Linked DNA regions of Rattus norvegicus. The protein of the gene in region 1 interacts with the protein of each later gene in a pairwise test. Links are inferred from orthologs where the notes say so. Each region holds a gene or a part of one and is shown in the gene's direction. Other genes may lie near its edges.

Region 1 (4,557 bases):
AGGCTTCTAGTCCCACTTCCATTCTACAAACCCATAGAAAAAGGAAAAGCTAGACCCAGCTGAGCAAATAAGGCATTTCCCACTGCAGCTTCCCCATAGTTGACCCTCCTGGAAGGAAGGGCCCTGAACCCTCCCCCCCTACCCCACATAAACAGCCGAGTTGTTAAGCAGTTCCTATTTTCAAGGCCCTGGAGAGTCAGCAGCACCCCAGCAGCTGGGGGGCCTTCAGACTGGACACCGGGACTTTGACTGGAGCAGAGCATGGCCCAGGAAGGAGATAGGGCACTCACCTACTCCAAGGCCCTGCCACCAGCAGGGAAGGGCTTGGTCAACAACCCCTGAGAACTGTTGACAAAAGGTTAGGTGACCTTATGAAGGTCTTTGTCCTCTCTCAGCTGAGGCCCCTATATTAAAGGAAGGGTGCCCAGGGCCACACTGCACCACTTCCAGTTCTCTGTAAGGCCAGCTGCCAGGCCTCATGAGAACAAAGGTGAACCACGGTGCTCCATTGTCCCCACACTGACAGTGCCATGGGGTGGGGGAGGGTAAAAGAGCAGACTCAGGCTACAGTGTGATCTAAGCGGCTTTGACAAGGTTACCTAGAGGGCCCCAGCCACCCAGAAACCCCGAACTGTAAGCTTGGTAAGCTTGGACCTACAGCAGGAACAATCTGGTTCCTCCATGACGTCAGGACATGCTGGGACACAGGGCGTGACCTCAGAGCCCACATGCAAACAGTCAGTGGTTTAACTGGATGGGTAAGTGGGCTGCATGGTTCACTGCCTTTTTCTTCACTGACCTCTGAACAGTGCTTGGCTTCTGCCAATGGATAGCTGAGCTCAGTAGGAGGGGCAGCTGTGGGTCAGGGGACCAGGACTTCCCCAGGACCCCACAGAGGCATCAGGGAGAGGAAAGGAACACACTCTGTCTTCCAGGTCCAACTGTCCCCTGTGTTCAGTATACCCTTAGCTACTCTGCCGAGCCTCAGTTTCCATGTCTGTAAACTGGGTCTGAGGGTTATTTCCCAAAGCAGAGCTAACAAAGCTGTTTCAGTTACAGCGTCCTTGAAGGCCATCACAAAGAGTGGACAAAACATTTTGCAGTTTTGTTTGAAGCATCAGTGAGCTATAAGATTTGAACTCCATAGGTCACAGCTTTAAAGAAGTAGGAGGTGGGCCATGTACTGCAAAGACAGTGGCAGGAAAGGAGGCTCCTTTCCCGGTGGTCCCCAAAGTACAGGGCTGCTGTGGCCAAAACCAAGCCACTGCCCACTGCCGTCTGCCTTCAGTAGCCTCAGGGAAAGCGCTTCTCTCCGAGGATCCTAACAGGACACCACGCAGGCCTTGTCTACCCATGTGGGACCAGGCACTGAACCACCGTATTTATTAGTCAGCAAAGCCAAGTCCTTTCTGAGAAGAAGGAGACATGGTTCCTGATCAGGAATCCCTGGGCAAGTGCGACTTCCAGCAGGAGTCCCCAGAGACCCTTGCAAGTAGAACTTTCCCTGTTCCCGGAGGACAAGGAGAGGGCAAGGCTAGGAACCAGCCCCAGAGACTTGGACCCATTAGGCTGAGGGGGAGTAGAGGCGGAGCTTAGGGAGTAGGGGCGTGTCCCTGGGTACTTTGACTGCCTGGCTCTCTGCCCAGCCACCGCCTCCAGTTCTCCGCCAACTTGGCACAAACATTTCCTTCCGGGGGCCTGCAGGCCAATAAATACAGTGGATGCATTGGGCCTGTGGCCTAGGGCAGCCCAGGCTCAAGCCAGCAGGTAAGAGGCCTCGCAGAGGCTCCGGGCCTGTTCAGAGGAGGGTGTAGAGGTGGCCTGGAACCTAGACACTACCATCTATAAAATAGTTCTGTGGTGATGGTGTGGGTGGGAACAGTCTACCTTCTGAATGTCTGAGTCCCCTTCTCAGCTTCGGTCCTGGGAAAGAAAAGTGGGGAGATCAACACCCATCCTCAAAGAACGTTCCTGAAGAGGGACTGAGGTTGCAAGGGGGACAAAAATTTGGCGACTGGCGTCTTAAACTTGGCTTCTGGGTACAGGTGGGTCATAACTGACATCACTAACCAGCTACCTTCACGAGCAGCCTCCTGCCTCAGACTCTTCAGGGCCTGAGAAGCTCACCTACTGTCCAAGCTTCTGGATACTAGGCTCCACGTCTCTTGTGTACTCCTTCCCACACTGAGATGTGCTCCCTGCCTGGGTCCCGGAAGCCCCTGCTCCGTGTGGCTGTGACTGGGGGCACCCATGGGAATGAGATGTGTGGTGTCTACCTGGCCCGGTACTGGTTACAGAACCCAGGGGAGCTGCAGAGACCCAGCTTCTCAGCCATGCCAGTTCTGGCCAACCCAGCAGCCACAGCTGCCTGTCGCCGTTACATAGACCGTGATCTCAACCGCACCTTCACACTCACCTTCCTTGGGTGAGTACCCTCAGCCAGGTTTGCTGGTCCACAGCCAAGTACTAGCATTCCTACAGACTGGCCTCTGTGGCTAGCAAGGCACCTCTGCCTTTTCTTAATGACCAAATGATTTAGAGAGGCCCAGACCCATGTCACCTCTTTCAGGAAATCTACCCTGACTGTAGGCTGGCTCTATCACTGAACCTTAGGCCAGACTCTTACCAGCTGGAGTGAGACACACATGGAGAATAGGACTAACATGTGAGCCTCAGGTTACTGGAGACACAGCAAAAGACTGGGGTGGAGGTGGGACTACATGAAGCATCTGGCCTGGCCAAGAGCAATCAGGGAAGGCTTCTTGTAGGAAGTGGCATCTAGCTACACCCCCCCTCCCCTGCCCAAAAGTGAGAAGTTAGCCAAGGAAAGGAAGACTGCAAAGATGTGGACTGATGTCCCCCATTCCTTTCCCCACAGTTCCACCGCTACCCCCGATGACCCATATGAAGTGAAAAGAGCCCAAGAGTTGAACCAGCTACTGGGTCCCAAAGGCACATGTCAGGCTTTCGACTTTATACTAGACCTGCACAACACCACAGCGAACACTGGGGCCTGTCTCATTTCTGAAGTCTCCCAGAACCCCTTCAACTTGCACCTGTGCCACTACCTACAGGTGGTCCATAGAGGGCAGGGAGGAGGGCAGGGAGGAGGGCAGGGAGGAGGGCAGGGAGGAGGGCAGGGAGGAGGGCAGGGAGGAGGGCAGGGAGGAGGGCAGGGAGGAGGGCAGGGAGGAGGGCAGGGAGGAGGGCAGGGAGGAGGGCAGGGAGGGGACAGAGAGATCAGTGCCACCTCTCTTCCCCGGGGCCTGCCACCTGAGGTACTTCAGACTCACTGTAACCTTCCAAACAAGGAAAAGAGGTGGGTCGGGGCAGGTGACCCTGTGCTTCCTGTCCACTGCTTTTCCCAGCGTCAGTGCCTCAGTTCCCCCTCTCAAGAAGGCCTGGGTCCTGACTGGTCCCTCTCACTCCACAGCTGCAGAACCCGGGGCTGCCCTGCCGCCTTTTCCAGTTTGAGCCACCTGGGACAGAGTCCTACAGTATGGATTCTGTGTCGAAAAATGGAATCTGTGAGCTGAGGGGTGGGGAGGAGAGCAGGGGGTGGAGCTAGAAAGGCTAGAAAAGACCCCTGGGCCTGGGGTGTCTGCCTGACATCTTCTTTCCTGATCCCCAGCTCTGGAGCTGGGCCCCCAGCCTCAGGGCGTGCTGCGGGCTGAACTGTTCTCCCAGATGAGAGCGATGGTGGCCTCCATTCTGGACTTCATCGAACTCTTCAACCAAGGTGAGACTGCCCAGTAGCTTTTAGGGAAACTGAGGTCTGAGGAAAGGGCTGGCTTCTGGAAACCAGAGGAACAAGTGGTCACACACAGCCTCCCCACAGGCATGGAATTCCCCGCCTTTGAGATGGAGGTCTACAAGAACTTGGGCAGCGTGGACTTCCCACGCACCACAGATGGTCACCTGACTGGCACTGTGCACTCTAGGCTGCAGGTCAGTGTGGCAAGGGTTGGGGGGTAAGGGTACCCTGAACACCAGACTGAGCCCCCAGTACCTTGGAATCCTGAGCTGGAAGTAAGCTGGCCCAATCCACACTTGCACCTAGAGCCTCGCCCTGGGTCTGGCATTTGGAGAAGCTTAAATCTTCACTGTGGGATGAGGGAGGCTGGTGGATACTGTCCTCCTTTAACTGGAGAAGCAGAAGGGAGGAGACAAGACCCAAGTCACCTGCTTCGACGTGCAAACGTTCTTTTTCCATGCCTGTGAGCTGACTGTCCGCATGGGGTCGCTGTTAAACAGGGTCTTGTGCAGTCTGGTAGCCTTTTTCTACAGCAGTCTTAGTAGTTTTAATCTTGTTCTTGACATCTGGGAGAGCATCCTAAGCCAGCCCTGCCCACATGCAAATGTTGCATAACATCAGCTATATTGGAGAATCTACCTTAAAAACTATAAACACGCTCTCTATTTTGTCTGAGAAGAGACTGTAAGTATACAAGAATGATTCTGGTGAGAGTATTTCTTGATGGCATCATAGCCATTTTAATTTGCACAGTATGCACCATGATGTTCTTGAAACAGCAAAATCACCCTCGTGACACATTT
Region 2 (4,430 bases), on another chromosome or scaffold:
GGCAAAGCATCTCCCAGAAAGGCTTCAACCAACCCTGGCAAGACACCGTGACTGCCAGAGGAAAGTAAGTGATAAAGCCAGAAGCTTTATTTTTTGTGGAATTCTACTCTAGATAAGTACCATTCTCCCATTTTTTACAACTAAATAAGCAAGCAAACAAAACAAAACCCTAATCCTAGCCAGTGAGATAGCCCATCTAGAACTGGGGCTTGCTACCAAACCGGGTGAATTTGATCCCTGAAGCCAACATGGTGGAGGAAGAGAAATTACTCAAGCAGGACATCCTGGACCCCTACATGCCATAGCACAAGTAAATGCACACGAACTAAACACACACACGATTAAAACAAATTTTAAAAAAGCATTAAAAAACAAAACAAAACAAAAAAACCAACAACACCAAAAAAACCCTAGGCCCTCCCCACCCCTGGCCCTGGCCCCAAGTGCAAGGAAACAAAAGCAGTCTCTGACACTCAGACAGGTCCTTTCCCCCGAGCAGGTCCAAATAAACATAGAAAACCTGTACGTCCAGCCATTCAACAGAGATGGGCCAACAGTGCACTTAAAACTTCCTTCCTTCCTCAAAGGGTAAATCAATCGGTGTCGGAAACCCACACAACAAAACCATGGGGTACTTATCACAGAACCTTTGCAGTCCTCTGACTGCCTTACACGCCAAGAGAATTTCTTCGCATGAATTAGCCTGGTTGGGAAGCAGAGAAGTGAGGCACGGAGGCCCTCAACACACTGCACAATGACTGTCTGGAATAAGTAGAAGAGTGAGCAAATTCTGGGCTTCAGAGTAAGAGGACACTAACTGTGCATCCTTCATCTTTCCAAAGAAAACCTCAGAATACGCTAGGGAGACATGGTTCTTTTTTTTTTTTCTCTCTCTCTCTCTTTTTTTCGGAGCTGGGGACCGAACCCAGGGCCTTGAGCTTGCTAGGCAAGCGCTCTACCATTGAGCTAAATCCCAACCCCGAGACATGGTTCTTAAGCGCTGAACTTGGTGTGCGCACTGGGACGATGAAGACCGTCCATGTGACCCAAGGGAAAGAAACAAGGCAGAGAAATAGCACGTAAAAATACACTCTGGCCTTCCACCGACTGATTTCCCGAGTGGGCAGCCCAGGTATCCTTCCTGCCAGTCGTAGGCCGGACCCGGTCGCTAAGTGCGGTCCCTCCTTTACCGCCCACCACCTGACATTCCTACCATGAGCCTGTCGCCTGCTACAGGAAGTACGCCGACCTTGTCCCCGGAAACTTGAAGGGCTCATGCGCGGGAGGTTAATGCGCTAACTCAAGGAAAAAAAAAAAAAGTACTACGGCTTGGGAACTGTAGTTCAAATTTTGTATCCGCCCCGAGTGTCCCGTAAGCCATTAGAGAATCTTCCCATCGTGCCTTGGAGTTCCGGGGCTCGGAGCGGACCCGGAAGTTCCGGGTGGAGTTCCGGGTGCCAACGAGTCTTCTGACTGGAGAAATGGCCACGCTCTGTCTCTTTGACATGGATGGGACCTTGACTGCCCCGCGGCAGGTAGGCGGCGCCCGGGGAGCTCCTGGTGGTGGGGCAGAGCCCTTGCTGCCCCAGACCGCCGTAAGGACTGTCCGGGAACCAGTAGACCTAGGTCCTGAGCGGGGTCCTGAGTGGGATGCGCAGGAAGAGGGGGCCAGAAAAGCCTTCCGAGTAGGAAACGTGTTCAGAGTCGAAAAGTTCGGGTCCGAATTTCTTCTAGGGTTCCTCGGGTCTGGTGTCCTGGATTGAACTCCAGCCTCCACCCTCTGACCTGCTGTGTCACCTCCCCAGCCCTGTCACCTCTGACTGTCTCTTCTAGTATATCAAGGGCAGGTTTTCAGCTGTCTGACCTTGAGCAAATGTCTTTCGCGGAGTCCTTGAAGCCCCTTTAAATGTGATGCTTAGGTGAGGATCACAGAGACTAATTAGAAAGTCCGGTGGGACTTCCTTCCGCTAACCGAACTTGTTATAGCCAAAGATAAGTTTGTGTGGGTTCGTTCTGGTGATGGCATTCTCTCTGCCTCCTATGCACAAATGCATGATTGAACAGAAATCATACAAATGAGAGTAGGCTCAAATAGCTTGGGTGTCGCCACCTCTGCCCCACCCCTTTTAGATTTCGTGGACTGTGTCCCAGAAGCCCCTGTAGTGTGTGTAACCTTAGATATGTCAGTCTATCTTTTTTTTAATTTTTTTATTCCTTTGCAATTACATGTGTACAGTGTATCCGATTGTATTCACCCCCCCCCCAACCTTCCTGTGCTCCCTATGGAGAACACTGACCCACACACCCTCTTCTGTTTTCATGTCCTTTTTAAAATTTTTATTTTAATACCTCTCTAAGTCCAGTTAGTGCTACACACACACACACACACACACCACACACACACACACACACAGCCATCCATCAAGTGATAGGCAACATATCACCCATGCTGAAATGTTAACTGGCTTGATCTTGTACAGGGAACCATGGTTGCTGAATTCATAATGTCCAGAAGACAGCATTTCGTTTACCACACTTCTCTCCATCCTCTAACTCATACATTCTTTCTGCCCCCGAGCCTTGGCAGGGTTGATAAAGGGTACTACTTATTCTTAGCACTTTGACCAGGTATGAGTCTGCATTAACCACTGCCCACTACAAAGAGAAACTTTTCTTACCAGGGTTGAGAGCAGCATTAATTATGGGTATAAACATAGATATTTAGAAGGCAATTTGACAAGATTTCCATTTAACAAAACAACAACCATAGGTTTCCCCACAGTGCCTATGAGCTCCACAGTCATAGACTTTTGACCAAGTACTGTACGAGGCATTAATTCCTTCCTGTGGAATCGGCCTTATATTCAACCAGGAAGTGATTTTGCTACCCCCAAAACAGTCATTCCACCATTGCACAAGCCAGTACACATTGCCCAGCAAGTCAGTGCTGTCTCGCAGGACCCATGGCTGGGAAATGCCCCAAATGACTTTCCTTCCACCGTGCTTTACATAGCACCTTCCAGCACTATGAAAGCTAAACATGCCAGTTCCAGCCTGATGTCTCTGTGTCTTGAAACTGAAGTGTGCAGTGTCTCCAGCAATATGGATTTACCATTTAGTTAGGGTGGGCGACCAAGAGCAATTTCAATAGCCCGTGTTATTTTGGGGTCCTAGTTCTCTCTGGTCAACAATATCCCCCCACACCTGGAACCAACGTTTTTGTTCTTTGTTGTTGTTTTTTAAATAATTCATGTCCTGTAGAAGACATTTGTATGTATACATACTTTACCAAGTAGTAGGTTTTCAGAAAGCTTTTAAATGCATCCTTAGTTGTAGTTGAACCACAACCCACCCTCTTCTGTCCCTCATTCTACTTTTCTGAGCCAGTGTGATCTGTCCAGTGATGACATTCCACTACCAGTTCTCCAGAGCCCTTCCTGACTTAGCTTCATTGCCCAACACACACTGGTGAGTCAAGCCAGTAGCTACATGGGCAGGTGGCATAGGGTTTTAATCCCTTCAGGGAGATTTGAAAGTTCAGGGCTAGCCTAGGCTATATAAAGTGTTTGAGACAAACCTTCAGAACTTAAAAGCCAATAGTAGTCTAGAGCCGGGAATCAGAATTCGTATTTTGTCAAGGGTCATATATTAAGTACTTTTGTCTTTGCATATGGCCTGCAGTAACTACTCAACTTTAGTGCAAAAGCAGCCATTGACCATATATAAAGAGTGACTATGTTCTAATAAAACTTGATTACAGAGGCCATTGAGATGTGGTCACCCCTAAGCCTTAGGACCTGAGTTCAATTCCTGGAGTCCACATGATGGAAAGAGAGAACCACCTCCAACAAGCTGTCTTCTGACCTCCCCTTGTACATTGTGGCACACATACATGCATACACATAATAAAAATAAAATTATTATAGAAACTGCTCTTCAGTTGGCCCAGGAACCATAGAGGTTTGGTTTGTTTCTTTGGGTAGGTTTTGGTTTTTCAAGACAGGGTTTCTTAGTGTAGCCCTGCCTGTCCTTGGATTATTTCTGAAGACCAGGCTGGCCTCGAACTCATGGAGATCCACCTGCCTCTGCCTCTCAGATGCTGGGAATAAAGGCATATACTACCCAGCTACCACCATTCTAACATAAGGAAATTGAAACTAGTAAAGCCCTGACGCCTCCGCTCCTACAGCAGCTGTGGTTCAAGGTCCTGAACTTCAGGGCACTGTTCAGTGTCCTAATTGTCATTCCCTTTTCCAGTGCCAGGACGGAGGCCACTCCAGGTACTAGATAAGCTACAGGGAAACTGCCTCTGTGTCCCTGGATAGCAAAGAAGAGCCTGGTGACCAGAATGTGCTTTCAGCATTTGGAACGATATGCTTGCAGTGATCACGGTCAATTGCAGCAATAAAAGAAAACTAACTTAGAAGTGA
Region 3 (4,749 bases), on another chromosome or scaffold:
TTACAGCTGTGATATGAGGGTGAGGGGCGGATCCTACCGTCTGAACAGCTGCCGGAGTGACAGGCCGCACCAGGACGGCCACTGTCTTTAGGTGACTTTGGCTTGCTGTGTTACAGAACGTTCCAAGATGGTGGGAGTGCTTTATAGCTCTAGTGTCTCGTGGTCACGTGATCAGCGTCAGGCAGGAACCAGATCTTAAATTTAAATTTTAATCAATACACCTGCGTAGCGGCTTTTGCCAGTATGAGTCTAAATAAATGGCTTCCAAACTGGGGCGCACACACCCCAGGAAGAGACAGGAATGCACAGACTGCAGGAAGAAAATGTAATACTCCATATATTTACATCATTATTTGGTATGTCTTATTTAATATTTAATAACGAGGTAAAGTGTAGTAGACATATAGGTGTACACATAGAATATGCATGTTTCAATACTTTCCATCATTCTTACATAGCACTTAGCTTGTGCTTGGCATGTTACAAATATTGATTATCTAATGACTCCTTGAGGCACTCTTATTATCCCAGTTTTACACACGAAAGAACTAAGGGTAACTACCCCAAGGAAACGGGTATCGTAGTTGGTGGCAAAGCCGAGACTTTGAGTTGTAGGCGGTCTGGTTGCATCTTTGTACTTAAAGCTAAATAAGTGTCTTGGTAGGGAGGGCAATGTTTGTTACACAGACACCGAAATAGGGAAGGATGGGAAGAACTTAAAGAATTCCAGGCACAAGAGCAAGAGGAAAACCAACAGGATCACCTCCCCCCTTCATTTGTGGATAGAATAGGTCGGTGGACCCACTAATTCAACAACTGGCTCTCAACCTTAATGCTTTAATACAGCTCTTCGTATTGTGGTGATCCCCACCATAAAATTATTTGTGTTACTACTTCATAACTATAATTTTGCTGTTATGAATCACAATGTAAATATCTGTTCTCCGACGGCCTTAGGCGAACCCCTGTGATCCACAGGTTTAGAACTGCTCAACAAGAGGTTAAAAAAAAAATCCCTGAAATAATAAAGTTTACTCTAACTCAATTTCTACCCCTCCCCTGTTTAAATGGTGTGCTTTGGCCACCCCACTCGCCTAGATACCTGTGCTAGCTCTCCGCAGCGCCTAGTAAACGCTCATCTAACCCAGCGGTTATCTTAGCACGGAGTCCTAGGTACGCGAAGCAGTTGGCCGAGGCCCAGGCGCCAGGGAAGTTTTGAGAAGAGCAGAGCTCTTAGGCATGAGGTTATAGAGAAGCCTGCGGGACAAGAGTGCGGTGGGCGCAGACCCCTGGCTCGGGAGAAGCGACAGCAGGTGCTCCGCGCAAGGCCGAGCCGGGCGGGGCTGGCAGACGCGTTTGGGTGGCGAGATGCAAAGCCTTTCCTGTTCCTTAGGGAGGCGTGGAGGCAGCTTCCGCCCATTCTTCCAGAGAACTTCGCGGACTGCTTAAGAGCCCTTTCCGAAGGCTAGCCCGAGTCAGGAAAGTCAGGTCTGGCGACCCAGGATTGCCTCAGCCGGTTTCTGTGCGCGTCACCTCTGTGCAGAAGAGCGCGTTCCCCAACCCGGCCCCGGGGAGGCCCCCCAGTGGGTGTGGCCTCCGCTGAAGACCCCGCCCCTCGTGCGGTCGCGTGGGGATGGAGGGGCAGGGCAAGGCGATGGGCGGGGCGAGGGAACCGGGAAGAAAGGGCAGGGCCGGTGTGCTCGTGCCCGTGTTTGGCGCTTGGGCGGGGGCGCGCCAGTGCGCGCGCAGGAGGGAAGCCAGCCCGGACGGCCGTTGTCGGGTTCGACTGGAGGGGCGGTGAAGTCACCTGCGAGCGGTGCACCCGCCGCGTCCGAATCGCGCCGGCCTCGCGGGGCCCCACGCACCCTGCGAGGCTGGGGCCGAGGAGCAGGCAGAGTCCGCGCCCCGAGTCGGCGACGAGGAGGAGGAGGAGTCGCACCCTTGGCGCCGCCGCCCGCACCCGGGCGGGTAGGTACCATGGAGGTCGGGACGCACCGGGCGGCGGCGGGCTGGGGAGGGAGAAGCGAAACTTTGCGGGCGCCTGTCCCCGCGGGCCCGGGCCAGCCGTGGCGCGGGGAGGTGTTGGCCCGGGCGGCGGCGGCCGACGCCATGTTGGGGTCTGTGGGAAACGGGGCGCTCGGGCGGCTCCCCTCCGGGCAGGCGCTCGGGCTGGAACCGCCTCCGTCCCGCCGCGGCGGTCCGCGGGACGCCGCCCCGAGGGCCGGGACCGGGAACGGCGACTGGGGACTTGGACCTCGCGTCGTCCCTCGAAGTTGTGGGGCGCCAGGACTCAGGTCCCCAGATCGTGCGGTCTGAAAACTTGGCAGGGTCTGGGCGTCAGGGGCACGCTGTGTCCCAGCGGTGTTTTTTATACGACTTTATACGAAAATGGCACCACACAAGTTGGCTCTGATAGGGAGCAGTGGCTTACACGCTATTTGGAGTTTTTTTTTTTTAAGTTTTATGATCTTTTGACGAGTTTTTTTTTTTTTTTTAATGTTATTAAAGGCCGAGAGCTGGTTCCCTAAGTACTGGAGTAGCCTTGTATACTCCTAGAGTATTAAAGCAGCACGTTGTGTGAGTGTGCAGTGGAAATGAATAGAATTCAGGTTACATACACCTAAGCCGTAATTCAGACTCCCAAGTGCATTAAATTGGTAAATGCCTTCTTTGTTATGCTTTAGTACGTTGCCTAAGAGACTCGTTAAAGAAACATTAGAGTTGAAGGTTCAGTTGAAACGTTAAGGCACGTGTTGTCTTAAGACTAAAGTGAAATAGCCTAGTGTTGGCTCGTGCCCATATTGCGGAAACATCGCTGCGAGTTCTAGACCAGCCTTGGCTACTGCGTGAGCCTGATAGAAACAAGCCCTCCAAACCAGCCAACCACAACAAACAGAATAGGGTGCAGTGATCGATCTTGACATTTCAATTTTTTTCTTCTTTTTCCTTTTGGTTCCTTAAAAGTGCATGAGTTTTGAGCCCTTATCTGTTTACCCTGGTAGCTTAAGGGACGGGAGGGCTCAGGTTAATTTAGAATTAACAAAGGCTATTTTTAATCACCGTGGGTCGTGATAGCATTGGGAGGTGAATGGTATTAAGATGCTTATTTGGAAAGCTCCTTATAATCACGTCCCTCCGCCCCCCAAACGAAACTGGTGTACAGCATGAAGTAGCCTAGTAAATAAATACCCTTAAAAAAATAAAGACGGCTTTAAAATTTTGTTAAATGGGCGGAAAAGGCTCTTAACAATGCAAAAGCAGTAAACAGGCCATAGAGGCTTCCCTTATTTTACGCTTTAATTTTTTAAAATCACTCATCTGCATGGAGAAAGGGGAGGCGCTCGGCCCCAGACCTCACATGGAGAGGTCAGAAGACAAATTCCCTGAGTTTCTTCTCTCCACCATGTGAGTGTGGGGATGGTTGTCAGACCTGGGGGCCAGCTGCTATCATTATTTTCTGAGCCGCCTTTCTGACCCCTCTACTTTTAATTATATCTCTTTATTGTGTGTGTGCAAACGTGGACATTTGTGTGGTCACATGGTTCAACTGCGGAGGTCAAAGAGCTAAGGTGGGAGTTGCTTCTCTCTTTCCACCTTCTGCCCCTGAGGATAGAACTGAGGCTGTCAGGCCTGGCCTCGCCTCAGTGCCGTAACCCTCGGAGCCGTCTCCCTGCCCCTCTTCTTAGTCTTTAGTAGGTAAAAGTGCTTTCGTAGGTGTGTTGGTCAGCTTTCTTAGGCTTTTCTTTTCTTTTCTTTTCTTTTCTTCTCTTTTCTTTTCTTTTTTTCAGAGCTGGGGACCGAACCCAGGGTCTTGTGCTTGTTAGGCAAGCACTCTACCACTGAGCTAAATCCCCAACCCCAGCTTTCTTAGTTTTTTAAAAAAATTTTTTTCCTTTGAATTTTGCTCCCTATCAGGTCAGTTCCATTTCCTATATATTTATTTTTTGGACCAAAAAATTATTTATCAGAAAGAAGTTACTTGCCTGATACTGCAGATCTTAGCAGTCAAGCTGATGACTCTGTAGGCCTCTGTCTCTAGAGCAGAACATAGCACATCCCTATGTGGGCATTCTCTGCCTACCTTGTTCCTTCTTTTTTTTTTTTTTTTCGGAGCTGGGGACCGAACCCAGGGCCTTGTGCTTGCTAGGCAAGCGCTCTACCACTGAGCTAAATCCCCAACCCTTGTTCCTTCTTTTTATCACTTATCCTTCTCATTCAGGTTTCACTGTAACCTGCTGCTAACAGGCCCTAGTGCAAGGGTACGATGCTGAATTTCTTCTTCTTCAACCCTTTCGGAGGAACGCGGGGGTGTGAGTGGAGCGTGCCTGTCAGCACACTGAGGCCGAATTGCTGAGAGTGTGATTGAGATTCATAGTGAGACCATGTCTCAAAACCAACCAAAACCAGAGCAACCCTTAGACCTGTCTTCTTTGAAGCTTTCCGCCCACTGTGCAGTCATGCTTCCTCTTTCTCAGCAGGAATCTGTTCTCTTCCCCCTCGGTGTCCTAGAAGCACTGTATAGGTCTATAATGGCCTGCCCTAGACAGCAGGCATCGGGTGGGGTCCCGTTTGCTTGTTCTTCAGCAAGCTGGGGCGGAGCAGATGCTCAGGTGAGGTCTGAATGTTTTCACTGGAAATAGTCTTCATGAGCTCTGGATAGTTACGCGGCTCTGTAGTCTGCCCTATGTACCACGGACTCTGTTCAGTCGGTGGATGAGGTGCTTGAACTTTCTTTTTAGACATAATTAA

What was found. The genes of interacting proteins can lie anywhere in the genome.
Region 2: the proteins of Acy3 (region 1) and Pmm2 interact in binary tests that used the Homo sapiens proteins (3 or more experiments, as listed by UniProt). The two-hybrid records come from large-scale screens. The link is inferred for Rattus norvegicus from reciprocal best matches to the Homo sapiens genes ACY3 and PMM2.
Region 3: the proteins of Acy3 (region 1) and Plekhf2 interact in binary tests that used the Homo sapiens proteins (3 or more experiments, as listed by UniProt). The two-hybrid records come from large-scale screens. The link is inferred for Rattus norvegicus from reciprocal best matches to the Homo sapiens genes ACY3 and PLEKHF2.

What each region holds. Positions count from the first base shown.
Region 1 is NC_086019.1:210,707,620-210,712,176, forward strand, and holds the start of Acy3 (N-acyl-aromatic-L-amino acid amidohydrolase (carboxylate-forming)), read left to right. Parts: upstream 1-1,717; 5' UTR 1,718-1,767; exon of another isoform or gene 1,768-2,045; 5' UTR 2,046-2,189; coding exon 2,190-2,425; intron 2,426-2,878; coding exon 2,879-3,074; intron 3,075-3,433; coding exon 3,434-3,527; intron 3,528-3,631; coding exon 3,632-3,739; intron 3,740-3,838; coding exon 3,839-3,948; intron 3,949-4,060; coding exon of another isoform or gene 4,061-4,096; exon of another isoform or gene 4,097-4,557. UniProt on the Homo sapiens protein: Plays an important role in deacetylating mercapturic acids in kidney proximal tubules. Also acts on N-acetyl-aromatic amino acids.
Region 2 is NC_086028.1:7,486,542-7,490,971, reverse strand, and holds the start of Pmm2 (phosphomannomutase 2), read left to right. Parts: upstream 1-1,417; 5' UTR 1,418-1,481; coding exon 1,482-1,535; intron 1,536-4,257; exon of another isoform or gene 4,258-4,430. Other genes in the region: Tmem186 (transmembrane protein 186), read right to left, coding at 1,214-1,216. UniProt on the Homo sapiens protein: Involved in the synthesis of the GDP-mannose and dolichol-phosphate-mannose required for a number of critical mannosyl transfer reactions.
Region 3 is NC_086023.1:28,900,711-28,905,459, reverse strand, and holds the start of Plekhf2 (pleckstrin homology domain-containing family F member 2), read left to right. Parts: upstream 1-1,736; 5' UTR 1,737-1,968; exon of another isoform or gene 1,969-1,983; intron 1,984-4,749. UniProt on the Homo sapiens protein: May play a role in early endosome fusion upstream of RAB5, hence regulating receptor trafficking and fluid-phase transport. Enhances cellular sensitivity to TNF-induced apoptosis.